Linked DNA regions of Nothobranchius furzeri. Each later gene encodes a partner of the first gene's protein in a complex. Links are inferred from orthologs where the notes say so. Each region holds a gene or a part of one and is shown on either strand. Other genes may lie near its edges.

Region 1 (4,233 bases):
GGTGACGTGTAGAACTTGGGAGTGCAGGCTGCTGCCTGAGAGGTGGTAGAAGATGGAGTGTCTCCATGCTGCTTTGTTTTGGTCACTTATGTGCGTGAGGCGAGTGGTCTTACGGGTTAAACCAAACTCAGGTAATATTTTACACTAAACCGAAAACCCACAACACTCTAAATGTAATAAAAGGGAGATCTACACCACAAAAAAGATGAACTCTAAACCAAAACGTAACAGCTTATCCCAATGCAAGAAGCTGTTAGCGAAGATGCTAACAGTAGCTTTACCAAAAGTTCAAGTTACCAAGTTTAAATAAACCAAAAACACCCGGCAGCAAACAGACCAGCAGGGAGGAGAGACTGCTACCACCAAAACAGCTCTCCTCATGTCTGAAAGAAGCTCCTTTATGAAGGGAGAAGCGCTCCCGGTGATTTTCTACATCTGCGATAGACATGAAGCAGCGCATCTGACCCCGGAAGTTGTTGTCCGTTGCCGGGAGACGAAGGGGAAAAACAGGAAAATAATCTAGTAGTGGACGGACATTGTTCCGGGTCTTCGGTATTTGGCGGAGATGTTAGTGAAGGCGGAGAAGAGGGCAAACTAGAGGAAAAACAGGCAGATTCCTCCTCTATTTACAAACTCCTGGGGATGCAACAAGTGGGCGCGGTGCGTCAACTTCCGGATCTGACGTCGACAAATTTTTAGAATCGAGCCGTCGACTTCGTCGAGGCTTCGCTACAGCCCTAGTTTTAGGTGCCTACCTCCATTTGACTGTTTAGCATTTGTATTAACAGGTTACTACAGGGGTGCCCAATCCTGGTCCTGGAGGGCAGGTATCCAGCAGGTTTTGTGTTTTTTCTGCTCCAACAGACATGATTCAGTGGTTGAAACACCTGTGCAGCAGCTCATCAGGCTCTGCAGAAGCCAGTTAATTAGCTGCTGATTGAAATCAGGTGTGTTGAAGCGGAGTTCAAACTAAAACATGCAGGACCAGGATTCCGGCACCCCTGGGTTACAAAGTTAACTAAAAGCTGTTTGATAAGCTATCATCGGGTATATTAGGGCACCCTGGTGCAATAAGCTATACTTTTATGCATGATGACATGATTAGTTGACTAATCGTCAACAAAACTGGTGATTAGTCTACTATTAAAATTGTCTTTTGTGGCAGCCATACCTAAATGTGATTTTAAGTTTTTTGACTCTGCCATCCAAATGCATAAATGCATGGTGGCGCAGTTGTTAGCACTGTTGCCTCGCAGCAAGAAGGTTGCAGGTTCGAAACTCGGCTGTGGCCTTTCTGCGTGGAGTTGAGTGTTCTCCCCATGCATGCATGGGTTTCCTCCAGGTACTCCGGTTTCCCCTACAGATCACAACATGCCCTACAAGTAAAAAATTGTACGTCGCTATGGATAAAAGCGTCTGCAAATAAATAAACATAAAAAGCTAAATGTAAAATTTTCTCGCATAGATGCAGAACTCTGAATGTTTTTTTTTAGATGAAAATTCTTTCAATACCTGTCAAAAGCTTTAACTCTTCCAAGCAGCTTCTTATTGTTGCGGCAGTTGATGAGGACTTGAGTGTTGTTTTTCACTGACTGGGTGAGCACCGACAGGGGGCCGGTGTTGAACTCCTCCTCCTCCCGCTTCTGGAGTTCTTCTGGTGTCATCTCTGATTTGGGCTTCGTCAACAGACTCCTACACAAAAGCAGACACGATACTAGATCATTTGCTTCTGCACAGATAACGGTCACAAGTCCTTTTAGCGGTTTGCTTTTAAAACTTACATGATTACAAGATAATAAATGAAAACAAGGCACCCTAACTAAATGCAATTCAAGAAACCTGACTTTAACCGAGATTAAAATTTAAATCTCTCAGTAGAAGAGTGGGGAAGTTCCCATAGGCATTTAACAAAACTAATAACTTATTTTAAAAAATTTACACCAAGCTACTTTTAGCAATAGCCAAATATTCAACAATATCAGACATACACGTTTAATTTACTGGTTAGCAATCAGAAGTTAAAAAAAATTGAAGAGATTAGAATGACAAGTTTTGCATTAACAATTAACTGTTTCTCTGAGTTTCTTCATAACCTTCCTTTACTCTTTTGTATCAAGCAATGGATTTCTTAGAAGATTGATTAAAAAAAACATGTGGAACATCCTTGAGACAGAACGTCGCTAACAATGATGTTCTGAATTAAAATAAGCTCATATGCTTCAAAAACATAAAGCCGACTTCGTTACTAGGCTAATATCCTGACAATTTCATTCTCCAAACGCACATTTTAGAAAGTTGGTCAAACTGTTATCTACGGGGAACACAATTTGACTCAACACCGGTCTCCTTAATCGTGCTGCTAATATTTCGCAATTGGCAAACATAAAATTTAAACAATCGTAGCATCATTAACGATCACCAACGTAACTACTACATATATTTTATTGCAGTAATTACCCTGTACATATTAGGTTAATGGTGAGTAAAATATGAAAAGCGATAGCACGTTTAGAAAGCAACACAACGTGAGCTAACTAGCATTCATCAGTGAAAAGGCTAAACATGTTAGCATTCGAGAAAAGACGCTGCGACTCGTAGCTGATACTCTATCTCAAAAAATGACACTTTCCGAAATGGCTATCTCATCATCAACGACACTTACATGATTGGTGGTTTATAAAAACTGTTTAAAGCTGTTTTTCTCTCGTTTCCACCGTCTAATTCTTATGAGCAACGCTTCTGCCTTCTTCTCGTGGACGAAAACACTTCCGGGTCATTCTCAACGCGCTCTAAACAGTTCGCTATAACTTCCGGGTTACGGAGATTCTGCTCGGTAAGTGTAATGGAAAAAAAATCATCCATAAATGTAAAAATCTTGAAACTATTATTTTCTTAGTTACTTTTTTCCTAAATTCTATCTATCTATCTATCTATCTATCTATCTATCTATCTATCTATCTATCTATCTATCTATCTATCTATCTATCTATCTATCTATCTATCTATCTATCTATCTATCTATCTATCTATCTATCTATCTATCTATCTATCTATCTATCTATCTATCTATCTATCTATCTATCTATCTATCATCATCATCATCATCTATAGTAGTTCTTCAATACAGTTCCAACACAACCAGTGCATAGAACAAGCGTGTAAAAGGTAAGCCCCTCTTTTTTCGTCATTGCTTATTCTTCATACGTCATGAAGCTGATGCCCAACTCTAGCACTCATCAGTCAAGAGGTGAGTCCTTGGATGGGTCACCAGTCTAGCACAGGGCCACATGGAGACAAACAGGGACAAACAAATATGTATTTATATTTAGAGACACAATGGAACCTAAATGTTCTTGTTGTATCCAGTGAAAACCAGTGTATGCATGGCCAGAATGCACTTTGAAGAAAGGCAACCTTGCAACCTTCTTGTTGTGGGGAAGCAGTACCATTTGTACCATGCAGCCCTATATCAAAAACTCTCTCCTCACAAAGTAAAGAGGAAATAAATAAGACTGAGGAAGCAGACCTCTCCGTAGTCTGCAGCCCAAACAGGTAAGCCTTTGTTTCGCTGTTTAACACAGCAAAGGTGTGTGTGTGTGTGTGTGTGTGTGTGTGTGTGTGTGTGTGTGTGTGTGTGTGTGTGTGTGTGTGTGTGTGTGTGTAAAGGAGAGAAACGGGTATATGTGGCAGCAACGAGACACTAAGAGATTGGCTTTCTGGCAAGAGACAGACAGACGCCTATGGGTGCTCAACCCACCCACCTTGTTCCAAAGGTTACAGATCTACCTGTGGAAATCACTTGCTGTAGATAATGGCAGGCTGTGTGTTGCTGGGAGAGGTGAATGAGTGGGATTGGTTTCCAGACTGCACGGTTCTATACCTTTACCAAGCACACTCACCCTAGACTCTTGCATCTTGAGATGCAGACTAAAATGAGCTCAGCGTTACCTTACATGGGATGGAGCTGCATTCTCTAATCTGAACACACTACAGTGGCCCAATTAAGAGAGCAACAAGCATTAAATCAGATGAGTAAGTACAAGATACAAGTCTATCAATCAAACTATTAACATTTAAATGCACAAATCTAAATGTTTATTTATTTAAAATGACAGAATATTTTGTTTATAGAAAAACAAAGTCTCTAGGATGTTGAATGTTAAGTCTTCCAGCTAAAAAAAAAACCTCTGGTGCAAACACAATCTGTCATTATCAGCAATTTACATCAACTGG
Region 2 (3,500 bases), on another chromosome or scaffold:
AAACTCTAAACCGCATTCAGAGCAAACTGTTTAAGACCACCATGGAGACGGATGAAAACCTGCTAGTGTGTGCGCCCACGGTACGAAGGCCTTGGTAAAGTTCAAATATTGTGTGATTTGTTGTTTTTATGTGTTTTCTTTAACTGGGGGTTTGTTCTGCTCACAGGGAGCTGGTAAGACAAACGTTGCCCTCATGGCGATGCTAAGAGAAATTGGAAAGCACATCAACATGGATGGAACGATCAACGTGGATGACTTTAAAATCATCTACATCGCGCCAATGCGCTCACTTGTACAGGAAATGGTGGGAAGTTTTAGTAAGGTGAGTCTTGAGTCACTATTTTAGACCTTTTTCCCGTTGTTTGTGGGACAGGTTTACATTTAACGTGTTTCCTTTTTTAATCTCAGAGATTAGCAAGTTATGGCATCATTGTGTCCGAGCTGACCGGAGACCACCAGCTCTGCAAAGAGGAGATCAACGCCACTCAGATCATTGTTTGCACCCCTGAGAAATGGGACATCATCACTCGGAAAGGAGGAGAGCGTACCTACACCCAGCTTGTGCGCCTCATTATCATTGTATGTTTTGATCTGAGCCAAATGTTCAAAATGAATTTAGGCTAAAGGTTTCTGGTTAAGCTAAGCGGGTGTTTCTCAGGATGAAATCCACCTGCTGCACGATGATCGCGGGCCGGTGCTGGAATCTCTGGTGGCGAGGACCATTCGTAATGTGGAGCTGACTCAGGAGGACGTACGTCTGATTGGTCTGAGTGCCACGCTGCCCAACTACGAAGACGTGGCTACCTGCCTGCGTGTCAACCCTGCAAAGGGACTCTTCTACTTTGACAACAGGTACATTATTTGAAGAGTAATGTAAATTTTAGAGATAAACTCGGTCCCTCTTTTTGTTATTTGTATTTCCATCTATGGTTATTGTTGTTTCTTTTTCTCTGTAGTTTCCGCCCTGTGCCGCTGGAGCAGACATATGTCGGAATAACAGAAAAGAAGGCCATCAAGCGATTTCAGATCATGAATGAGATCGTCTACGAAAAGATAATGGAACATGCTGGAAAGAACCAGGTGAGTTCTGTCTGACCTCTGACCCCCAGTTTATTATCATCTTATTTCTTGTTTATTTACTCTGTCAACTTTAACATCTTCATTTCCCCCCTCCATAGGTTCTGGTATTTGTCCACTCCAGGAAAGAGACGGGAAAGACGGCCAGGGCCATAAGGGACATGTGTTTGGAGAAGGACACTCTGGGTCTTTTCCTCAGAGAGGGTTCAGCATCCACTGAAGTGTTGAGAACAGAGGCAGAGCAATGCAAAGTAAGGAAATGAGAACTTAAAGACCTTTCTGGTGTGAGGCGTTGGACTTGAGTGATGGAATCTTTTTCTTCTAGAACCTGGAGCTCAAGGATCTGCTTCCGTACGGGTTTGCGATCCACCACGCTGGCATGACCCGAGTCGACCGTACGCTGGTGGAGGATTTATTTGCAGACAAACACATTCAGGTTCTGGTATCGACAGCCACCCTGGCCTGGGGTGTCAACCTGCCTGCACATACTGTTATCATCAAAGGAACCCAGGTTTACAGCCCAGAGAAAGGCCGGTGGACTGAACTGGGAGCCCTGGACATTTTACAGGTCGGTTGGTTTCTACTGTCTGCAGTCATATGTAGCTCTTCTGACAGCGGTGACGGAAAGAAATGTTTGATTTCAGATGCTGGGTCGAGCTGGCCGTCCTCAGTATGACACCAAAGGAGAGGGAATCCTGATCACCTCCCATGGAGAGCTGCAGTACTATCTGTCCCTCCTGAACCAGCAGCTGCCCATAGAGAGTCAGATGGTGGGCAAACTGGCTGACATGCTCAACGCAGAGATAGTGCTGGGAAATGTTCAGAATGTCAAGGTTAGTGACTGAAACCTACACAAGAATGAAATTAATATTTTACTTTCATGATAATTAAAGTTTTTTTCTATTTAACTGCAGGATGCTGTGAACTGGCTGGGTTACACCTATCTGTACGTGCGCATGCTGCGCAACCCCACCTTGTATGGTGTTTCCCATGACGACCGGAGTTCCGACCCGCTGCTGGAGAGGCGTAGGACGGACCTGGTGCACACCGCCGCCAACATCCTGGACAAGAACAGCCTCATCAAGTATGACAAAAGGACAGGAAGCTTCCAGGTGAGCAAATTACTGTCCAGATCTAACCGGCTGAACAGACCTTCATACAGATGGATGCTTGTAACTTTGTCTCTGCAGTGACAAAAACCTCTGACCTTGGCCCCAGTAGCTACAAATAAACAAATAAATAAAATGATTACACTTAAAAATAAAAACAGTTCACCTGCTATCTCACTACTTTCTCCTGGTCTTTGTGGAATGCCAGTACCTGCTTATGGATAGTCATCGCATGTCTGAGGTGGGATTGCTGCAGAGGTCCTGGGCCTGTGTCTCTGACAGACGAATCCTTGTGGCTGTTTCGTGTTCTGGAGGCTGAATCCACACTCAGCTGCATCACTAAAGACGTCGATTACAAACGCCACTTCAGTTAAAGTTTCATAAACTGAGATCAGAAGTCCGCAAGACTCTGAACCAGGAGTTTCCTGATCCCACAAGCACTTGCTTTAGTGGGAGGAAATCTTGCAGCGAAGTATCAGTAGTTCACCTGCACCAGTGTGTGATCTGTTGTCACCACAGAGCCTATTTTCCATAACTCTCCAATGTGCTGTCAGCCACTAAATATACAAATGTTGCCAAAGCCGTCTTCACTAAACAATGCCATTTATTTTCCACAACTCCGTTTCAGCATCAGGGAGCCTTGGGTCATTTATAAGTGGTCAGGTCATGGTGGTAATGTGGCGCAATCGCGTCCTTTTTATAAAAGATTAGGCGATGTCGGCAGGAGGTATGGGGCGGTGTCTGTGCTGCCACGGGCTTCCGTTTATCTTGGACATAACTAGCTTTTTATTGCAATGGAAGCTGCGATCATTAAGTTTTTTTAACAAGCCGCTCCTAAAGGTGTGTGTCCCCCAGTCCTGTGCAGCCTCCGGTGATCTGACCTCCGGCTCTAATGGAGAGAAGCTCCTGGAGTGCTGCATCGCTTCAGTTTAACATCTCAGCTGATTCTGTTTACAAAAGAAAAACTTACGTCCCGTGTTCACTTTCATTTTCAAAATATTTGTCGGCCAGAGCTCGGCAGTAACTCACCATGTCATCATGACACCTCCCTCTGTTGCACCAAGGTGCAATCGCTGTTCAGAAGTCAGACAATTACCGCAATATTACTACCAAGCGAGGCAGAAGGAATGCTGCAAAATTTGCACATCGCCATGCCGGCGTGGCGCGTTTATAAGACACACCGTTGGTATTATGCAGATTTGTCTTTTAAAAAGAGCTAAAGATTTTCTGATGGATTTCTCTTTTATTACGTCACTTCTCCGTGTCAGCGTTTGTGAGTGACACCACTGAACTCGCCATCTTTTTTTCTCCACC
Region 3 (4,099 bases), about 35 Mb from region 1:
TAAACTGGCAGTGGAGCTTTTGTTCAGATCTCAGGCTGGTTTTCACCAGTGGTGTTTCTGTTTTCATTACCATGGCAACTGTGAGACCAGATGGACAAAGACAGAACACAGAGAAACACCATCAAAGAACCAGAACTGGAGCTGTTGGCATTATGGAGTGAAACTAACTGACCTGATGTAGTGAGCATCTGTCCATCAGTGATGGGAACCCAGCTGAGGTAGTCCTGCTTTCCTGGTGGAGGCTGGTCAGACGGGTGTCTGAGGAAGCCGAGCACAGTGAAAAGGCCCTGGTTGTGTTTGAGAGAGACGGAGAACCAGTGGTTGTACTCCCTGGCCTTCTGACTGGGCCAGTGGACATAGATGCCCTGTGTGCTGTATCTACGCAGCTCACACTCCAGCTGTTCTGCCTCCACTCCCTCCACATAGTGCCGCATGTCCACCTTGGACCCTGCAGCAGAACACAGAAGAGTAAGGTGCAACCGTTGTCAGGTGTGTAATGGTGACCTGTGTCAGGTGGCTTACCTGTGACCTGAAAAGTGATGGTGCGTAGATCTACAGGAGCTTCTCCTGTCTGACCAAACTGCAGCACAGCATTTCTGGGGATCCGCTGGGTCTCTCTATGTCCTTCATTGTTCATAATCACCTGTTCATCTGTGAAGTGACAGGGCAGCCATAGTATCTGCTGGCTACAGTAGACCCCTGGAGACAGACCAACAACTCAAAGCAGCTGATCCGAGTGGGCTTCCTCCAAAAACACAAACTGTCCCCACACTCGCAGGGATACAAGCCTTCTGAAGACTTACCTGTCCAGATAAAACCGTAAATAAGAATCCTGCAGGGTGGAACCATGGTTATTCATCAGATCTACTGATCCTTGTTCCTGCTTCATTCAGCTGCACATTTATTCTCAGAACACTTTCGCTTTCATTTACAACGAAAAAAAACCTGCTTTGCATGCAGCTGCATCACGTGACGAGCAGAGACAGTTTCACAAGGAGAAATACTGCAAAACACTTTTAAATGTCACTAAAAGCGAGTAACGTTTAAACCATCACACGTAGGGCTGAACCGGTGTTCCGGTCTGGCGGCAGCACTGGTGAACGCGGTGTCTAGTCAACAACGCAAAACCTCGCAACAGTAAAAACAAACCAGTCAACAATCCAACAGAAAAGGCGAGGAAAACAACAACAACAACAACAATAACAACAAGGTGAAGCAGGTTTGGCGGTTTGCTGGGTTAATGCGGCTGCAGTACCGTATCTATCCAGGGGTGGCGCTGTGGGGACGCCTCGCCACCTGACAGCAGCCCGGCTTCCTGCTGGAAACCGGAAGCGCCTTTCCTGGTAACGAACTGGTTCACGAGGCGGGCGGGTGTATGTTCCTGCCTCCGCAGCCATGGACAAAGGTAATTATTAATGTTAGACATGTCTCGTGAACTTGCGCGAGCTTCGTCTCCAGTCGGTAGAGACGAACATGGCGCTAAACGCTCAGGCTGAAGCAGCAAGCTGCAGGTTTGAAGAGCCCTCTCCTAGCCAGTCGTTCGTTCTGGACCTGCTTCACCTGCAGCCTGCCCCCCCTTCACACACACACACACACACACACACACACACACACACACACACACACACACGCACACACACACACACACACACACACACACACACACACACACACACACCTGGATAACGCTGATCTCGGCCCAGCTCGGGTCTCAGCCTGTTGCTTGCCTGTTTTTCAGATTCCGCCGTGCTCCAGGGAGCTTTCCTCCAGGCAGACAAACTGTGCCTCCCCTCATCCCTGTCCCTGATGCAGAAGGCGGACTGGAGTCGTGTGAAGCTCCCGATCCTGCAGGCCCTCAGAGACACCTGTGGGCTGAGCGCTCTGGCCTGGCAGAAGAAGGTTGTTTGTGTGGTGTGGTTGAAGCTGATGAGCAGTGAGGCTGAGGAAGATGTGGAGAAGGGGTGGAGGGACAACCCTTTCTTCTGCCTCCAGAACGGCCTCCCTGACGTAAGCCGGGCTGTTCTGCTGGAGCTGGTGAAGTCACTCTCAGCTGCGCCGGTCTTTGCCCGCTTGCTCCTGCGTCTGCCTCAGCAGCAGATCTGCACCGAGCTGCAAACGCTGGCAGAGCATCTGAGGACGGATCCCAGTCCTGAAGACGTCTGCTTTCTGTTGGAGGTGTGGTGGGAGCTGTGGAAAGGCAGAGACAAATGTCAGACGCAGGAAGACAAAGACTTAGAGATGATGTTTGTCAGCCAGTTTGCACGCCTGTCCTCCGATTGTCCCAGTGTCTCGCCTCAGGCTGCAAAACGCTTAAAGCTGGACCTTCCTGCATCGTCAGCAAACACAGACGTTCTGCACGTTCTCCTCCATGCTCTTAAGAACATGAAAGATCAAGTATCTACTACAGATTTGTGCCTGCAGTCCCTGTTAGTCTGCCTCGACGCTCTTTACACATCCTTCCTAACAGACCCAGAGGTTGTGCTTCCAGTTGAAGAGAAGTTGCTCATCCTCTGTAGGCTTGTTGACACCAGAGGACAGACGCAGGCGTGGAGCCCCAAACTCCTTCAGGAGGCTCTGAGAGACCTGCGTGCTGCTCACTCACCAGCTCCTTTTCAGCCCAGCAGGATGACGCTGAGCCAAGCTTTGAAGATCGTAGCAGAACTCACAGAATTCTGGCTGGAACAGGATCTCCTGAGCGCTCCTGGCTGCTCCGCGTTCCTGCTGCAGCAGAGCGTCCAGAGAGTCCTGGCAGCTCTAGAAGAAACGGGAACATCTGAGCATGTGACTGAGAAGAGCACACTCAGAGGTCTGCTGAGTTCACTGTCTCTTCCTGCCGTAGAGACCCCCCCTCAGGTGCAGGCTCAGGTCGCTGCCACCGTCATCAGTCACCGCCTGGAGGACTGTGAGGAGTTTGCTGCGCTGTTTGCCAGCCAGTTGTCCTGGACTCATGAAGAGCTGTGGGTGGACTGCCTGGAGAAGAACCACACGGCCTTCACGCAGCCCAACACCCTCATCAGCCTCTCCTCCACCCTCGTGAGTCGCCTGCAGCGTGGGAACGTGAACACCACCTGGTGCAGGAGAGCCATTAAAACGGCTGCAGATGTCTTCTCTGCTCTTTCGTTAGAAAACCAGAACAAGGTCCTCGCTGCAGTACCGAGCCGCTCCAGCAGGGGCTTCTTTGGCTGCTCTGTCCCCTCGGCTGTGGCAGACGGCTTTGAGCAAGAGCTGAACATGGCCTTTAACTGCCTTATCCAGGGAGGGGGCGGGGCCTCAGCAGCAGTGTCCCAGGGCCGCCTGACCACAGCAGCCTCTCTGGTAGCTCGAGTGGCCTTTCAGAGCCCAGAGGCGGCTTTAAGGTCCTGCTGCCACGCCGCCGTTTTCAACAGGGGAGCCTTCAGCCTCATGGCAAAGATCCTGCAGCAGCTGCCTGGACTCCGCGGACGGAGGGGAGGGGAGGATGAGGCAAACGGAAACGATGTGGAGCAGCAGGAAGCTGGAGGGCGTGGTAGTCTGTTCTGTAGGTGTTTACAGACGGCGGTCAGAGGCAAGCCACTGTCCGCCTGTGAAAAGGAGCAGCTCCTCAAGTTCCTGTCTCTGCTCATGGCGCCGGGCCCGACGCTCCAGGGAGAGCAAGAGACACAGAGGTTCTTGTCTCCACAGGAGGTGGTCAACACACTGGTCCTGCCTCGCCTCTCAGCTGCAGGTCGGGGTCCATGCTGGCTTTAATCTCATCTGTGTGTGATCTGTAAACGCTCGTCACATTCTGCTGCTGTCCCATCTGTGTTTCTGCAGCTGAAGAGTCCTGCGATGCAGAACTGAGTCTGCAGCTCCTCCACGCTGCTTTGGCTGTGGGTGTCCAGGAAGTAGCCCCCTCCCCTCACTGGGTGTTGGACTGCTCTCCCTTCCCCCTCCTCTATATTCTGGCCCAGCAGTACAACCAGACTCTCATGTGTGTATGATCCCGTGTGTGTGTGTGTGTGCAGCGGTTGTTGTTGGGCTTCTACTCATCTGATCTCTGTTAGGTGCTGGGAGCGGTCGTCGGAGGACAGCGACCACCTGAGCTCCATGGACACCAAGGAGCTGCTGGAGTCGGTGCTGA
Region 4 (4,224 bases), on another chromosome or scaffold:
AGACACTTTTTCTGCACGTGCTGCAAACAGGATAGCCGTCTTCTATAAACTGTCCCTCGGCATTCTTCAAATATTCAAAAAATGCCCGTACTTCCCACTTTGTTTTCTTTGAGGTATAATAAATGTCCTGCGCGCTGCCGTTTCCTCCTTTGGCCATTATTTCAGCTTTAGCTTCAAGAAAGTTTTGGTTGTAAACAACAAAGTGCGCATGTGCCGCTGGCAACTTCAACAGATGATACGGTGGCTGGTAAGGGTCACCGCGCCTACACCGCAGCCACGGTAAACCACCGAGATAATATAGTTTTTTTAAAAACGGACGGTTATTATTATTGTCAACTTTTTTTTATTTTACCGGGGTTTACTGCTACACCGGTTACCGTGACAACCCTACCTGATCGGTCTGCTTTGATCCATTTTGAAAACTCCGATCAAAACCGATAGGGGCGCTATCGGCCAGTTGGGATCAAATGCCGATCCATCGGTGCATCCCTAGTAGTCAGTCGCAGCTGTATCTGCTCAGTCTAGAGAGGCACCACAAAAATCACACAGGTATCAAAATATTCCCTAACCCTACTTATTAACCCTATTAATGTAGAAGTTTACACTTCCAAAATATTCTATTTAATATTTAAATTCAAACAGCATATTATATTTAAAAATCACCCAAAATTAGTATCACTTTGAGGCAACACAAATCAGTTTCTGCCATCAGAAGCTAAATCAGTACATTTCTAATGTAACATAATGAATTAATTAACAAACGATGCTGTAAAATAGTAGCATTTTACCAGTTTTTTCAAAGCAGCAACAAAGGGGCTCGATGTTTTCATCGGAAGTGAGCTTCCTGTATAACTCCGACATGGTTAGTTTCCCAACTTTAAAAGGGAATATCTTGTGGTTTTCCTATAAAGATAGGTTTGAGGTGCAAAAATGCTTAATGAGAAAATGAAAATAAACATCTTGTGGTGCATGACTTTGAAAGTTTCATTTAAAAATTGTCAACAAATTTAAATCTCTAATCACTTTGGATTGAAAAAAAAAACCTAAACAACTGAAAGATCTATTAGAGCACACAGTGTAATAATGTTGTCTCTGTGAGCTAATAAGAATGAGGCTAGGAAGTTGACTGCACCAAAGACTCAGATCATGGCAAATGTACAGCCTTCATAACCTGGAATGTTTAATCATTAAATATGACTTGGAGCTATAGTAACAGAGGAAAACGGTGTTGTATAACGCCCTGCAGCGTGAAAACATCAAATCTTACCATTATTTCCTCTCAAAAAGGCATCTCCATACTTGTTTTTGAGTTGTCCATTGACATACTCCTCCGTCTGCTCTATTGCGATGTTCATGTAACCATCCAGACAGGCCAAAACACCTGCTCAGAGACAAACACAAACTTCAGATTAAAAATAAACTTACCTGGGCAATAAAACAACAACAGACCTGAACGTGCCAGCTAGGGAAGAGGGGCATACTGTTTTTTATGCATTTTGATGCAAACATAAACCATTACAAATTCATTCAAAAATTATCAAAACAGATTTTAATAATGATCATTATTTAGGTGAGTGTAAAAGGCAGACATCTGAAGTGCAGAAGTGTGGCACATTATGGTGTGCAACTGGGATGGAGTTTGAGTCTTGACTGAAGAAATAAATACATCAAATACTGAAAAACTGAACATTTTAAACTGTAACAAAGATGTCTGAGTAGGAGTGTTGTGTCAAAAAGTGTTCCTCCTCCATGTATCTGTGTAACCTGTGTGAATCTCTCTTTAGCTTGGTAAATGAATTAATATCAACACAAACACAAATAGTTTGTTGAAGATTAAAGCAAAATTTGGTCCTCACGAAACTTTTCAAGTTTATTCCAATTACTCAGCATTTAACTGGAGTTTAACTGCAGTAATTTAACTGTTTTTCAGTTAGTGTTTGTTTCATAGTTTCTAATCCTATATGGGATTACATCATTCAACTTCCTGTCTGCCTGTATAAAGAACTTAACTGTAATGAATTAAAAGATCATTAAAAATTAAAAGTAGTTGTCAGGGGGTCATTGTCTAGAACTAAACATGAGGCAGAAGGCGTAAAAAGATGCATCAATGACTGCTTAACAAACCCTCTGATTCATAACCTAATCAAACTCTGAGAACCCTAAACATTCCCACACCTGATGCCAGCTGCATTACCTCTGTAATCAACACCAGAGTTCAGTTTGACCACGACAGGTCTCCCAATTATCTGCTTCAGAAAGTCACTCGGGGTCTGCTTTCTCAAACTCATTTTCGCTTTTATCTAAAAGAATAAAACAGATGAGTAAATCTCATTTTATCACAATAAAGAACCGCATTAGCATTACCCTAATACACATTTAAGCTATAATTGATTATCTAGTAACAAAGGCATTATTCAAACCCGAGAATATTAAAACGAATAGCTGTAGCCAGATAGTACACGCCTAAATGCAAAACTATGTACGGTTAAAACGTTCAAATTATCAAATGAGCTTCTATGTAGCTAGCGAGCTAAGTGCTAACTACCAGCTATTCCGTGGGTCAGTTCGTTAGCCTCTAATAGCGTAGGAGATTGTTTAACAATAAAGTACAATGTACAGGTATTGTTACATCATAACAGATCCTAATAAGATAGGAAATAGATGTTTTACTAGTTTTACAGATGCGAACACCGAGCTAGCAAGTTACTCACTGGATGAACGATCTCACAACGATTTTATGTTCGGCGCATTGACCAATCACATTGGAGGACTACGGAAACTATGTAGGGACAAATGTCCTGAAAGCGCAAAGTTTTAATTCGATAGACAAAACAAGAATATTTAAAAGTACATTTTAAAAATACGATATACCCATTTCCTTTAACAAGTTATTTTCTATAAATGTATTTCTAATATGTTGTAATTAATATTATATCCACTGGCTTTCATATTATAATATACTAAAGTTTTTTTGTTTTGTTGTGCATTGTTATACTTTGAATAAACTGAAGCATTAGTAATATTTCTATTATGTAACAAATTCATACAGAAAATGAGAAACTACTGTAAATATGTAAAAACATAATATTTCATGTGAATGTCTCATTGTATTATTTTACTATTCTTTTTACAAATTCAAAATTTATCTCAATGTAATGTGGGATATGCACAAATAAGCCTATTCCAATTTCAGGTACATTTTCTTTCTTCTTGATCTGTAAGTGTTCAAACGTTTAAAAGAAAGAAAGAAAGAAAGAAAGAAAGAAAGAAAGAAAGAAAGAAAGAAAGAAAGAAAGAAAGAAAGAAAACAATCTTTTCTGTAGCTCCTCTCAAGACAAAAATCTCAAGGCACTTCACAAAAATATAAAATATAAAAAAGGTTTCAAAAAATGATTTAAAATATGTTCAAAATAAGCAAAAATAGACAATTGTGATTAAAAAGGCAAAGAGAGAGAGAGAAAGAAAGAGAGAGAGAGAGAGAGAGAGAGAGGGAGACAGAGAGAGAGAGAGGGAGAGGGAGAGGGGGAGACAGAGAGAGAGAGAGAGAGAGAGAGAGGGAGGGAGAGGGGGAGACAGAGAGAGAGAGAGAGAGAGAGAGAGAGAGAGAGAGAGAGAGAGAGAGAGAGAGAGAGAGAGAGAGAGAGAGAGAGAGAGAGAGTGAACAGGAAAGAGGGAAATCAGTGAATCTTGGGGAAATGGGAAAATGTGCACAGTATGTACAGTCTATGATGTGCACTTAAAAAAGACATCTTTTCATTCTTATAAACACATCACTTGTAAGTCGCTTTGGACAAAAGCGTCTGCTAAATACATAAACATAAACATAAACATGTGCCTGGTGAAATATTTTCTTATTATAACAAACATTTGTTAACATCACAAAAACTATTGAACCAATGGAAAACTTTTTTGTAGTTGTGAAGAAGTCTATGAATAAAGTGTATGAAAACAAATAATTCTTTTAATTATTCTAACGAGTAACCAACTTCGGGTTTGTAAAAAATATTATAGACACACACACACACACATATATATATATATATATATATATATATAAACCTTGGATGCTGGGAGCACGACCCAAACACTGCACAGCTTGGGAGGTACATGAGAAATGGTGTATGGGGGCAAACAAGGATGAAATAGTGGGGAGAAAAACAGAAGAGCATAGAGGGCGTGAGGATGTGCCAGTACGTGTTAGTGGAGACAGAAAGGTTGAGAGAG
Region 5 (4,223 bases), on another chromosome or scaffold:
GGCTTCAACATGAAAACATGAAATACTACTAATTATTAGAATAAAACAATCTTATTTCCAGGTGTGTTTATTTCTCTTTAGTTTTAATAATGAGCCCAACACTAAAAGGCTTTTTGCAGGGGGTGGGGGTGGGGGTGGAGATTCATTTCTAATCGTTTAATTATCAAAATATTAAGTCACAAAACATTATTTTTTTCCCCAACACAAAACCTCAAATTTAAAAATAAATACATTAGCCGAAGTTAAATGGTGAACCTGCAGTTCCTCTCTACATGACCGTAAAACGAGACCTGCAGTCTGGGGTTGAGGTATTTAGGACTCTGTGATTTTTAGAAGGTCCAGTACATTAAAATGAAAAGTTTGATTTGTGAAAAAACAATTTTAGGACTTTGAATTGTTCAGAACAAATCCTTTGTTCTAGTGAATAAAACATGAGGGTAGTAGATCCTCCTAATGAAAAGCATCAGGGCTTGTTTATAAAATACTTGTGACACAGAAGCTTTACAAAAACATCATTTATTAAAAGATTACAACCTACATCAGTTCTCGTGCCACGTTGCTTCAGTTATAACAAAGAGATAAAGACGTTGTCACACCATGACTGCAATACAGCATCAAACTGATCTGGAAAAAGAACCAAAACGCCATTGGTCCATTACAAAATATACCTTCTGTTGAGTGCATGTGTCTCGATGTGTTTTAACAACAAGAACAAGTCTGTTGACTATAAACGGTGTACTGCTGATGCGTTCGTCTCCGTTTCCTTTACATGTCCTCCACACTCCATTTATATGCTGCCTCCTGGACGGCTTTCCTGTCTGCCATCCGCGTGTAGCGTTTTAACTCAAAACCATTCGACCTGCAAAACATCCATGTAAAAAAATGCCATCAAAATCTGCTATTGTAGCTTAAACTCCCCTGGATTTGATGCTTGTGTGTCCCCTGTTGAGGTTTTTCTTTGCAGATACCTGTCGACTCCATCCCAGCGATAGCCTGGCAGAATGTTGAAGCGGTTCGGCGGTGGTGGGGGGCCATTATACCTAGGTTTCACTGGAAATTCAGATAAGAAACACAAGTATTGTTACAATTTATAGAAAAAGAGTCAAAGTCGTGTTAGCAAGGCTTTGCTGAGAGGTTGCTAACCCTGAAGTACATTTTCAGTTAAAGCTTAAATGAAGACTTATAAAGTAAAGGAAGAGTAAAAACCTTTTGTCTTTTCTTTGCGGTCCTTCTTACGTCTCAGCATCGCCAACATAGGATCCCCTTCTCTTTCTTGCTCTCTCAACATGCGGTCCAGGTCCTCATCGTCATAGTGACGCGCCAGAGGCTTTTGGGCTTCGAGCACCGCATCCTCAAGTTTCTGCTGCTCCATCTGGCTCTGAGCCAACCTACACACACGTACACACACTTTAACGCTAAAATGTCAAATCTGCAAAGCAAGCCGTCTCAAAACATTTTTCATGCCTCTTAACAACGTTCTAACTTAGTACAGGTGTATTTTGTGGAGATTAAAGCTAATGGATTTGTCCTCAGCCAATAACACGGCTCGGTCGCAAACCAACAACTGGACCATCTGGTTGTTGATCGCACCGAACCGCCGCACTTCCCTGGGTCCTCTATTCATCACACACTCACGTGTTTAGCAACAGGACACCACCGGTGTGAGAGGTTCTCCACTCAGTAACATCAGAGAAGGAGAAACAGCTGCTTCAACTTTAGAACAAACTACCAGAGTCCCAAAAGGAAAAACACCATTTGAAGTCATGGACAACAAAAGACGTTTAGAAAATGGCGACTGGTGTTAAGCGCTATCTGGTTTGGTTCGGCAGTGCGAGTTCTGGTATCCGGTGGATGATAGCCTACAGGAGGGGTGAGAGTTCTGTGACTGTTTAAAAGCTAGCTTGTTCGTCGATTTGCTGTTGCAGCTTTAAATAGTGAAACGATTCACCCATTAGTGTCTTTTCAGTGCTGCACTCACCCTTTTCCCCACTGAGCATATTTCTCATCCTTTACTGCTTTCTCTTCAGCTTTTTTCTTCTGATCTTCTCTTTCCAAATCCAAATCTCTCCTTTTACCTCTCTTGTCTCGAAACACAGTCTGGGCACCGCGGGACTGATCTAGTCCAATCAGAGCCACAAGAAAGAAATACAAACACATAATTTGAGTATTGACTTGTTTCATTATGACATAAAAAATATAGTTTGTCTTGAAAAATGTGTGACGCTGATGAAAAAACACTTTACAAGTCCTCCAGTTTGGGGGTGTAAATGCTACCTTCTAGCGGCTGGTTGCTTCTGTCTCTGCGCCGGTTTTCCTCCTTTTCTTCCCTCAAAACCTCAATAGAAACAAGACCTGCTTTTCCACCAGAAAGCATCCTCGGACCCTGTTAAAACATCTTTTTTTAAAACCTGCAGCCATTTTGTGAGAACTTTTGAAAAGCACTCCTGCCTCACTTGTGAAGCTCCAGCTCTACGAGGTGGTGACAAATCTCCATCCGAGTCCTTTCCAGTCCGTGGCCTCCTCCTGGGTGGAGACTGGTCAGAGTCAGGAGACTGGCTGAATTTTGAGCGTCTTCTCGGAGGAGACTGGTCTGAATCGGAAGGCTTTTTCTTCTGGGGCTTTTTTCGTGGAGGTGACTGATCAGAGTCTGAATCGTGCCTCTTCTGACTCCTATCAGCTTGCGGTGAAGAACGATGATCTGGGCATGGTTTACTTGGTATCGAAGAGCTGGGCTTTCTTCTAGTGGGAGATGAATCTGGAAAATAGAAAACACAGATATGTTTAACAAAAATAGGGTATTAGTCAGGAAAATGATGATGTTAAACACACTCATTGAACACAGTTCAATGGACTACCACGATATTAATTTGTTTAGAATGAACTGCGTTCCATTTACCAGATGTCCATTCTCAGAAGGTTGGATATTTTTGGGGAGATTCTTCAGAAACCTAAACTGTTATCACCCGTCGGTTTTAAAATATTTAGGTTAAACAACAGAAAGCCTAAATTCTTCCACAGCTGATGGGGGCCAGGCTGAGGAGGATGCTGTCCTTGTCCATGAGATGGTACTGATGTTCTGGGAGAAGAAGACAGCTACATAACCAATGAGGATGGTGGTAGAGGAGGTGGTTGAGGTCTAGAAGTAGCTGGGTGACACCATCAACAATCAACTGGACTGAAGAGCCAAACTAGAGCTGTACACAATAAGGGGGTGGGTATTCCATGTCTTCAATCAATCAATCAATCAATCAATCAAAGCTTTATTTATAAAGCACCTTCCGCAACCCTGTCAGGAAGCCCAAAGCGCTTGAAGAACCTCTGGTGGTTTGAGGCTCTTTAACAGTTGTAGCTGGTGATCTGCACTTTGTTGATGCTTATTGATAGAGCATCATTGAAACCAATACCCAGTAGACTGAAAAAAAAAAAACTTGTAATTAAGGCTGCCTCTGTTTTTGAATGCAGGATGCACATCAGGGTTTTTCCTGGCTCAAACTGAGGCAGAGGTGGTACCATCCTGAACGTGCGCCAGCACATGCGTACTCTGTGCATTCAACTGCCTCACTGTTTTAAAGGCTAAATATTTTGTCGTTAAGTGTTCTAATCTAAGCTTCTGTTGACTAATTGAATATTCCATTTGACAACGTTTCAAGTGAAACTAAACTGGTTTGCTGCTAAAAAATATGAAATAAAACAAAATGATCAGGCTGAAATAACATACTCTTATTATGAAAGGCTCAATAATATGCATTAGATTGGTGTTTAGTTCCTTTTTCCCATTTGATATTTATAGTTAAATATCTTAAAATATTAATAACACTCATCTTAGTCACAATAACACATAAATATGTGCAGTAAAATATAATGCCTCGTCTCGTCTCGTCTTCCTCCGCTTATCCGGGTCCGGGTCGCGGGGGCAGCATCCCAACTAGGGAGCTCCAGGCCGTCCTCTCCCCGGCCTTGTCCACCAGCTCCTCCGGCAGGACCCCAAGGCGTTCCCGGACCAGATTGGAGATGTAACTTCTCCAACGTGTCCTGGGTCGACCCGGGGGCCTTCTGCCGGCAGGACATGCCCGAAACACCTCCCCAGGGAGGCGTCCAGGAGGCATCCTGACCAGATGCCCAAACCACCTCAACTGGCTCCTTTCGATCCGGAGGAGCAGCGGTTCTACTCCGAGTCCCTCCCGAATGTCCGAGCTCCTCACCCTATCTCTAAGGCTGAGCCC
Region 6 (3,962 bases), on another chromosome or scaffold:
TTTAAATTATTGTTCTTTTAGGAAATTCACAAGACAAATGAAATAGTTTACACCTGTACTGATTTTCTTATACTATTGTTATATCAACACTGAAGCAAGACCATAAACTAGCAATAATCTCAAAAGAGCTACAACAATAATCATTTTCCCCTACATATTTATTTAGTGATGGTGTTTGCATTCATGCTCTTCCCACTGCCACTGAGGACGATGTACGGCGTTTTCTGAGATTTCTGTTTCTCTTGAAGCAAAGCCACCGTCCCCAGAGGTGTATCGCTGCTGCTCATCTTCTTCAGCAGCGCTTCCTCCTCCAGCTTTTTCATCCTCCTTTCAGTTTTCATCTTTCCAGAACCTTTGCCGTGGAAACGATGCGAAAGCTGCCTGAATGCCTCTTTTGGGGTGAGTCTGCGCCCAGACTCATCCACATACTCAATTTTGACGTCGGGTTTATATCCATCCTTTTCCTTGAAATCCTGCGTGAAGCCTCTGTATTCTTCCCGGCGACTGTACTTATCATCAAAGCCCATCTTGTCCTCGATGCAGTAGTTGTCATTAGGCAGGGACCCCTTTGTTGCTTTGACACGAGCCACCTTTTGCATTTGCGTGTCCAGCAGCCCTTTATTTTTGCACAGCAGTAAAGCAGCAGCAAGGCCAGAGTTCACGATGGGTTCCTCATCCAGGATAGTGGCAGAGGCTGTGGAAAATTCAGCATGATTTTGCTCCTCATCCAGGTTAACTGTGCTCCACCCAATATTTTCATCCATTTCGGAGTCTGAATCTCCAGCATCATCTTTCTCTTCTTCCTGTTCAAAGTCCATGATATCCTCCTGGTCTTCCCTGTTTCCAGACAGTCCATACGTTGGAATATCACCCAGAGTTCTGCAGAACTCAGAGGTGGCATTGAAGACAATGTTATTCCTCTTGTCAGGATCATTTTCGTCACCGCCTTTAACAAACCGTCTGATCTGCTCTGCCACCTTCTCCCCGGAGTCTTTGAGAAGCTGCTTCTGCCTCAGCTTCCTCTGTTTCTCCAGTTGTTTCTGCAGCTCCTGCTCTGCCTCATCCTCCTCAATTACAGCTGGCTCAGGAGGCGTGAAGTTTTCTTCATCACTCATTTCCATTTCTGCCGTCCTGATGTCATCAGACATTTGGGGGATTTCATGTGGCCAACGCTCGCCCTTGCCTGTATTCTCCTCTTCGTTGTCCTGTTTGCGGCCCCGACCTCGTGCTCGGGAGCCAAAGTCAGAGCTGCGAGTGTCATCAAGGAGCTCATCTGCAATTGTCTGCTTCTCCTTCTTCCTGATTTTCTTCACACGGCGTTTTGTCTTTTTAAAGCCAACCATTTCCTGAGGCGTGTAATACTCCGAAGCGATAGCAAGAGCAGGCATTTCCAAAGACTGGGCCTGGTTTTGCAGCGTTTCTTTCATAGCCTGCAGCTCCCGTTCTCGCTCCCCATCAGCAAATCCCCATGTGCTCAAACGAAAGCTCTTTTTCTTTTCACCTTCAATTTCTTCATCGTATTTTGAAAGTACAGTGCGGGGCTTAAAGGTGACCATGTCATCCACACTCTCCTCTTCTTCGTAGGGCTTGTAGTCAGGCTTTTTCTTTTTCAACTCCACATTCTTTTCTGCTTTTTCCTTGTCCACCAGTCCCACGTTCACAAGCACATCCTCCTCTTCTTCCAGGACACCTTTGTCTTGCAGGGTCAGAATGACAGTGTGGCCCTCCTTGAAGGAATCAACCTTGTGCTGCACTTTGAGGCCTTTGAGATCCCGTGAAGAATAAGAATCCAATTTACTTTGAGCAAACTCCTCTTCAACCAGATTGCTGACACCAAACTCCTCATCCATCTCTTCCAGAAGTTTGGCTCTTTTCTCTGCCATTTCTTTCTCTTGTGCCAGCTTTCTGCTTCTTTCAATCCAAGCGGCTGTGTCATCGAGCCAATCATCATCTGCAAGGTTTTTGACTTTGCCCAGTTTCTGATTGAGGAGACGTTTTTCTTTCATAGCTGCAAGCTTCTCCCTCATCTCTTTCTGCTGCTGGATGAGAACAGGGTTGATGGTCTCAGCCACCAGTGGCTCCTCTTTGGTTCCAAGTTCTTTCTTGTTCTCATTGAGTTCCAGAGGCTTTAAACCCAGCTTGGCTCGGAGTTTGTTCGTTTCCTCGACGCTGAGGGAAGCATCTCCACTTGCACTCTGAGGCTGTATTTCTGCACTGCCTTCCTCATAGCCAGGATCCAATTTCTCCCTCTTTATACGAGTCTCGCCACTGCTTTTTTCCCCTTTGCTGCGACTATCCCGTCTGCTCCTTTCCCTGGACCTGGAGCGTTTTCGTTTTTCTCGAGTTCCATCCCGATCTGAGGCATCTCTGTCTCTCTCTCGTTCTTTGTGCCGATGCTTCTTATGTTCACGACGGCGCTCTTCTGCGTCCTTATCGCGACTCTTTTCCTTGTGTTTCTTTGAAGAACCCATGATTTCGTCCGCTGTTTACAACTCCAGAGTCGTAGTTCCGTCACAGTCAAGCTGCGTACGCAGTCTCTTCAGCTGTATTGATGTGGTAAATGTCGCGAACTTTTCTCCCAACTAGGTCGAGTTAGCTTCAAAAGCTAAAGGGTTAGCCACGTCAAAACTCACTCATTTCGGGGAAAACTGCATCATATTTTCGATATCCAGCATCGGTGGAAAATACGTGGAGTTTCGTTGGTTTGTTTATTTGTAGCACCTCGCACCAGCATAAATACTAACAACCACGTTTTAAGTTTGCTACTTCGACGAAACGAACATACAACGACAACGAATTCGTTTCCGGAAGTCAAGTGGTAGAAAAAACTTTGCTCGCCCTGGTTGTATATCGCCCCCTGCTGGCTGGGGCTTTAACAACCGGACATTAACTGACAAACAAACGCTTTTAAATGTTTTAGGAAAATTGTTTGATACTTTACAAAAAGTACACGAAGTGCAACACAGCGATTTACTATCTCCTCTATTTTGGCGCAGTTCCTTTACTTTAGCTTGTTAGCTTAGCAAAGGTTGCAGCCTGCAACCTGCTGTATTTAGCAAGCCGTGATAGCATTTAATGAAGCAAAACATTTCCATTCACTTAAAATTTTAGATAAAGTTATAATAATTCCCATTATCAAAATGTATTTCTTACTTATCGTAACTGAAATAATATCTAGAAGTGCATTCTGATCAGTAAAAACACATTTTAATACTGTAATTGATATTTCAATTGGAAACCCCCAGGTTTAGAGTATTTAAAAATGCTTTTGATTCCAAACGGTCATTTGAACATTTAATGGCTGGGATGTTTATCACTTTCAGATATACATCAAAATTAATTCTTCTCAGACAAAGAGAAAAAGTCAGATGTCTAGCAATGGTTTCTGTCTACCAACAACAGCATTAAGGATTTTTTCAAATTACATTTTTCTACTTCAGCTTTTGCATTTATCTGTATTGAGCTCCAGATATCAAAAAGGGCATTGTGCTAATGTATTTGGCAGATGCTTTTGTCCAAAACGATCTATAAACAAGGATGTAACAGTACTTGCATCTGATTCTAACGATAAACTGATTAGAGGAAAGAACACTAGGCTCCGACAGAGGAGTATGCGAAAATAGTGTAGAAATGAATCAGAGTGCAACATAGATGGAAGTGCACAAAGAGATGCAGTGGAATAGAGGAAGGGATGGGTGGATCCTAGGGTAGGAGTAGGTGTAACATTATGGATATCATATCAGTTCACATGTTAATTTCACTCATTTTTATACATACTACATTTTAAATTTTACTTGAATCTGTTATGCTTTGGCTGCATGTTGGCACAGTGGTAGTGCTGTTGCCTTGCTGTATTTCAATAAATAAAGTTTGAATCAAATGCTATTTCATCAAGTTCTTAATAGATATTTTAATTATCTTTCAAAATATTTGTAATTGCATTTGTTGCGAGTTTCTCAATA
Region 7 (4,049 bases), on another chromosome or scaffold:
ATCGGAATATTTAAAGGAATCTTTGCTCGTTCAATAACCAAATTTACACCATTCTGTGTTTCATTTCAAAGAAGAGTCAGGTTTAAAAAGTTAAGAATTTATAACGAACAATTTAAAGATGACAATTTATAACAGCTTTGATATTAAAACTTGGTATTAAAAGCAAACCTGTGTCTGGATGAAAGCTAAAATGAAATGCGTGTGTTGGATGTGTGACTGGAATCTCAGAAGGTTTCTTTCAGAGAGAAACGCGTTCTGGGTGAAAGAGTTTGTTTTGCAGCTAACTAAGTTGTTTCTTAGAGATGACAGCATCAGACGCAATCTGTGTTCTACCTCACCCATCAGGCGACCCTCTGTGTGGATCCGGAGGTCAAGGAAGGATGTTGTCAGCCTCTGGGTACTCGGTCCGGTAGGGAAGGCGCGAGTGGTACCGACTCTCTGGTCCAAGAGTTGCCGCTGGCACACAGGTGTTGAGTTTGCGTCTTAACTCTGAAGGAGTTTTGTGTCAGCTGGTGCAGGTGGCGTTTATTCGGAGCGATTCTATCAGCGTGACAGAACAGCTTAGTGGAGGCTTCGGGCGGCCGACCCTTGTCCTCTGGGACTCTCGTGCCACGGAGAGGTTTTGGTTGGTTCAGAACTGTCAGCTTGAACTGAGGAGTTTTGGGTTTTATTAAAACTCAGAACACGCCCTCTCAGAGATAGAAAGCTTTGGTTATGGAGCAAAGACATGTGAGGTGGTTACCTTTACCCTGAATTCAGTGTCCTGCATGGTGTGTATAAGTGTACATGACCTTCTTTACACTGGTAAACATTACTGATTATCATAAATAATAATTATTAACCAAAGAATAATAATTCATTTCAGTAATTAAATACATTTATAATGAACCGTGATGATTATTTATGAACCTTGTAATAAACAGTGAAAAGAGTTTATTAAAAATGATTATTTTAAATCTTGAAGTGTCCTTCATCTTAGGATGGAACAGCAGACAGATTAAAGGCAGTCAGATTAAAGATGGTTCTAGAAGACTGTGCGTCTCCTGTGATGGATAATCTGTGGACAGAAGTTCAGCCAGGACAGCGTGACCTAGCTGGGGAAGTGTGACCTTTGGGTCACAAATATGGCCATTCATGTCGCTACATGTATGCAGTGTGTAAAACTGTTCCTACGTGCAGATCTGTGCATAAGTTTGTTTGATGAATGAGGGCCCTGGAGTTCTAACAATTTATTTTCGTGCGAAAATTTAAAAAACTATATTTCCACTAGCATTAGATTTGTTGTCAACCAGCTGGAGACGAGAAGCAAACTCACCAGCTGTGGAACAAACTCTCGCTCTTCAAACCAGCTGATCAGAACATCTAACAACATGAGAACTGTGGACTGAGACAAAAATATTAAGACTGTTAAACTGGCTAAAAACAACATGGATGTCATCGTAGACCCCCGTTTACCTGGTTTAGTCTGCTTACGATGCTCAGGAAGGGAGGGAAGCCAATCTAGACCCAAACAAACCATCAGTGAGACTTCACTTCCTTGGTCTCATGAAGGTGCCACAGAATTTTCATGAGTGGCGGATCATCAAAGGATTAAATAAATACACTTTATCTGTTTAGATTGTTTGCTTTTGTGGGAGAAGTAGAATGTGGAAACATCTCAGCTTTGATCGATTTAAATCAGGTAAACTCATTCTGAGGAGTAAGCGCTCACAAAGGCAATAAGGTGTAAACAGTTGTATAACCTTGCCGTAGTCCAATGCTGGTTCTTGGTGTGCATCCGTCGGGCCGGATGAAGTTCCCTGATAAACGTTCTCCCCTAAACAAAACCTCTTCCAGCCCTCCTCATCGGTCAGCCTCGGCTGTAAGACACCAGCGTCAAGCTTGCATAAACCAAACCTCCAGTGTGATGCTGCATGACAAGATTCTTACAGGTGCTTCAAATCCACCTTAACATGGGATTTCTGTCTCCCCTTGAAAGAATGCTGATTTCGGTTTGAGTAGTGAATAAAAATCTCACCATCTGCACGTTGTCATCCAGAATTTGGCTCCTCCAGTGTTGCCTGTTCTTGGTGATGCTCTGAGAAACAAAAGTGACTAAAGGACACTGTCCAGTGTGGACATGTTCGTAACGTGTGTTACTGTGTGGACATGTTCGTAACGTGTGTTACTGTGTGGACATGTTCGTAACGTGTGTTACTGTGAAGTCTCACCTGTCTGACGTCAGAGAAGTTACTGACTTGCTGCTGTTGCCACCTGAGGCTGGGGGAGAAGCCCTGAGGAGCAGCATGACATCCTGCTACCTGGAACCAAAACATGTTAAACATGTGGTGTGTGTGTGTGTGTGTGTGTGTGTGTGTGTGTGTGTGTGTGTGTGTGTGTGTGTGTGTGTGTCACTTACCGACACATTAACAGTTTGCTTCTTCAGTTTTGTGGGATCGATCTGAGCAACGACCACCTCCGGGCATAAAGAGGCCTCCAACCTAATGAAACACCAAACTTATAAAGCTCCGTGGTCGAACATGGTTCTGATTCTCGAGACGGTTCGGCTCGAACATACTGGACCTGTCGGAGGTACTCCTGGGGGTTTCTGGGGGTTCCACTCAAGTCCAGGTTTCCGCTCCCGCCTCCGGTCTCCAGCGGCAGGAGCCTCGGCATTAACTCCTCCACGTCCGACTTCATGTTCTAATAAAGTAAAAGAACAGCGGAACCGAATCAGGTAATGAAAAACACGCAAGTTTCACTACAGCACAGTCGCCATCTTCTTCTTCTTCTGGTGTTTTATTGGCGGTTGGCGAACAACGAATGGTGCATTACCGCCACCAACTGGTGTGGAGTGTGGTCTGGAACAGCGCTCATAAAACAAAATCAAACACGGGAAAGAAAGAACAAAAAAATACATATATATACACACACATACATACACATATATATACAAATACATATATACATCAAATTCTCCCAAACATCCTTATCTCTTTTAAAAACTGAAATAAAATCAGAAAACAGTCGCTTTTTGAATTCTGTCGGTCTAGTTTCACTTTGATCTGTCTAAGATTTTGAATCAATGTCCTTCTTCCTGCCTGATACTTCCGACATTGTAATATAACATGAACTATAGTTTCTTCTTCTCCACAATAATCGCATTTCCCTGTATTATGTTTCCCCATCATGAATAACGTATTGTTTAACCCAGTATGTCCAAACCTCAGTCTAGAAATGATCACCGCCTCTCTCCTACTCCTTCCAGTGTTTCTTATTTCTCCTACTCTTCTTTGAATTTTATACAACCATCTTCCCCTCCTTTCCTCCTCCCATTGTTTTTGCCATTTTTTCTTCATTTCTCGCCTTTTTATGCTCTTCATCTCTTTCTGACAAAATCGAACATCTAACTGAACCGAAGTATTTATTGTAGCTTCCTTAGCCATCTTATCGACTCCTTCATTTCCACTGATTCCACAACGAGCTGGAATCCATAAAAAATGTACTTTAAGTCCCATCGTGTTTATTCTATAAAGTGTTTGCTGAATCTCTAGGAGTATGTCTGGTCTGCTTCCTGAATGGCTGCACGTTAAACTGGTTAATGATGAGCTGGAGTCTGAACAAATAACTGAGAATAATGGTCTGTTTTCTTCCACCCATCGAACTGCTAACAGGATTGCGAGAATCTGTATAAATTTTTACATAGTTATAATAGTGATCGATATAATCCTGTGCTGTATGTGAGTTTAGTATGAAAGACTTATCCATATTCTTTCTCTCTAATAATGATAAATCAACAGACGCCTCAGGAAGAATCCATGGCGGAACAGCAGGTAATGGAACTCTTTGACTGATTGTAAACCGATCTCATTTAAGTTCTACTGGTTTTTTGATCATCACCCATCCAAAACTTGTTGTTTCCTTCTTTTCTTTCTCCCAGCAAGGTTTTGGTATGTCTCGTGTTGGATGATCTTCTTCCTGACCCTGAAGATTTGCCCAATAATTTAAAGCTATTCGTTCTCGTCTGATTGCTATTGGCATCTCACCCGTCTCTACCTGTAACGCTGCTA

Evidence for each region.
Region 2: snrpd2 (region 1) and snrnp200 share a complex: the UniProt entries of both Homo sapiens proteins name them as parts of the U4/U6-U5 tri-snRNP complex. The link is inferred for Nothobranchius furzeri from reciprocal best matches to the Homo sapiens genes SNRPD2 and SNRNP200.
Region 3: snrpd2 (region 1) and gemin4 share a complex: the UniProt entries of both Homo sapiens proteins name them as parts of the SMN-Sm complex. The link is inferred for Nothobranchius furzeri from reciprocal best matches to the Homo sapiens genes SNRPD2 and GEMIN4.
Region 4: snrpd2 (region 1) and lsm6 share a complex: the UniProt entries of both Homo sapiens proteins name them as parts of the U4/U6-U5 tri-snRNP complex. The link is inferred for Nothobranchius furzeri from reciprocal best matches to the Homo sapiens genes SNRPD2 and LSM6.
Region 5: snrpd2 (region 1) and bud13 share a complex: the UniProt entries of both Homo sapiens proteins name them as parts of the minor spliceosome. The link is inferred for Nothobranchius furzeri from reciprocal best matches to the Homo sapiens genes SNRPD2 and BUD13.
Region 6: snrpd2 (region 1) and sart1 share a complex: the UniProt entries of both Homo sapiens proteins name them as parts of the U4/U6-U5 tri-snRNP complex. The link is inferred for Nothobranchius furzeri from reciprocal best matches to the Homo sapiens genes SNRPD2 and SART1.
Region 7: snrpd2 (region 1) and gemin2 share a complex: the UniProt entries of both Homo sapiens proteins name them as parts of the SMN-Sm complex. The link is inferred for Nothobranchius furzeri from reciprocal best matches to the Homo sapiens genes SNRPD2 and GEMIN2.

The regions. Positions count from the first base shown.
Region 1 is NC_091753.1:27,245,641-27,249,873, reverse strand, and holds the start of snrpd2 (small nuclear ribonucleoprotein Sm D2), read right to left. Parts: upstream 2,801-4,233; 5' UTR 2,665-2,800; coding exon 2,663-2,664; intron 1,693-2,662; coding exon 1,513-1,692; intron 1-1,512. UniProt on the Homo sapiens protein: Plays a role in pre-mRNA splicing as a core component of the spliceosomal U1, U2, U4 and U5 small nuclear ribonucleoproteins (snRNPs), the building blocks of the spliceosome.
Region 2 is NC_091757.1:37,097,870-37,101,369, forward strand, and holds part of snrnp200 (U5 small nuclear ribonucleoprotein 200 kDa helicase), read left to right. Parts: coding exon 1-80; intron 81-166; coding exon 167-322; intron 323-408; coding exon 409-579; intron 580-658; coding exon 659-852; intron 853-956; coding exon 957-1,080; intron 1,081-1,178; coding exon 1,179-1,328; intron 1,329-1,402; coding exon 1,403-1,645; intron 1,646-1,721; coding exon 1,722-1,910; intron 1,911-1,991; coding exon 1,992-2,189; intron 2,190-3,500. UniProt on the Homo sapiens protein: Catalyzes the ATP-dependent unwinding of U4/U6 RNA duplices, an essential step in the assembly of a catalytically active spliceosome. Plays a role in pre-mRNA splicing as a core component of precatalytic, catalytic and postcatalytic spliceosomal complexes.
Region 3 is NC_091753.1:62,516,060-62,520,158, forward strand, and holds the start of gemin4 (gem-associated protein 4), read left to right. Parts: upstream 1-1,299; 5' UTR 1,300-1,395; coding exon 1,396-1,405; intron 1,406-1,738; coding exon 1,739-3,703; intron 3,704-3,792; coding exon 3,793-3,949; intron 3,950-4,022; coding exon 4,023-4,099. Other genes in the region: dhrs13b.2 (tapasin-related protein), read right to left, coding at 1-78, 173-448, 523-699, 804-849. UniProt on the Homo sapiens protein: The SMN complex catalyzes the assembly of small nuclear ribonucleoproteins (snRNPs), the building blocks of the spliceosome, and thereby plays an important role in the splicing of cellular pre-mRNAs.
Region 4 is NC_091744.1:10,586,904-10,591,127, forward strand, and holds the start of lsm6 (U6 snRNA-associated Sm-like protein LSm6), read right to left. Parts: upstream 2,801-4,224; 5' UTR 2,712-2,800; exon of another isoform or gene 2,671-2,711; intron 2,651-2,670; exon of another isoform or gene 2,546-2,650; intron 2,301-2,545; 5' UTR 2,289-2,300; coding exon 2,195-2,288; intron 1,382-2,194; coding exon 1,268-1,381; intron 904-1,267; exon of another isoform or gene 789-903; intron 1-788. UniProt on the Homo sapiens protein: Plays a role in pre-mRNA splicing as component of the U4/U6-U5 tri-snRNP complex that is involved in spliceosome assembly, and as component of the precatalytic spliceosome (spliceosome B complex).
Region 5 is NC_091750.1:44,763,527-44,767,749, forward strand, and holds the end of bud13 (BUD13 homolog), read right to left. Parts: intron 2,756-4,223; coding exon 2,454-2,755; intron 2,384-2,453; coding exon 2,275-2,383; intron 2,118-2,274; coding exon 1,979-2,117; intron 1,389-1,978; coding exon 1,207-1,388; intron 1,051-1,206; coding exon 969-1,050; intron 860-968; coding exon 766-859; 3' UTR 501-765; downstream 1-500. UniProt on the Homo sapiens protein: Involved in pre-mRNA splicing as component of the activated spliceosome. As a component of the minor spliceosome, involved in the splicing of U12-type introns in pre-mRNAs.
Region 6 is NC_091744.1:19,554,741-19,558,702, reverse strand, and holds the start of sart1 (U4/U6.U5 tri-snRNP-associated protein 1), read right to left. Parts: upstream 2,801-3,962; 5' UTR 2,472-2,800; coding exon 159-2,471; 3' UTR 1-158. UniProt on the Homo sapiens protein: Plays a role in mRNA splicing as a component of the U4/U6-U5 tri-snRNP, one of the building blocks of the spliceosome. May also bind to DNA.
Region 7 is NC_091758.1:40,480,325-40,484,373, forward strand, and holds the start of gemin2 (gem-associated protein 2), read right to left. Parts: upstream 2,801-4,049; 5' UTR 2,680-2,800; coding exon 2,558-2,679; intron 2,481-2,557; coding exon 2,399-2,480; intron 2,301-2,398; coding exon 2,211-2,300; intron 2,105-2,210; coding exon 2,018-2,104; intron 1,860-2,017; coding exon 1,743-1,859; intron 1,501-1,742; coding exon 1,456-1,500; intron 1,385-1,455; coding exon 1,316-1,384; intron 1-1,315. UniProt on the Homo sapiens protein: The SMN complex catalyzes the assembly of small nuclear ribonucleoproteins (snRNPs), the building blocks of the spliceosome, and thereby plays an important role in the splicing of cellular pre-mRNAs.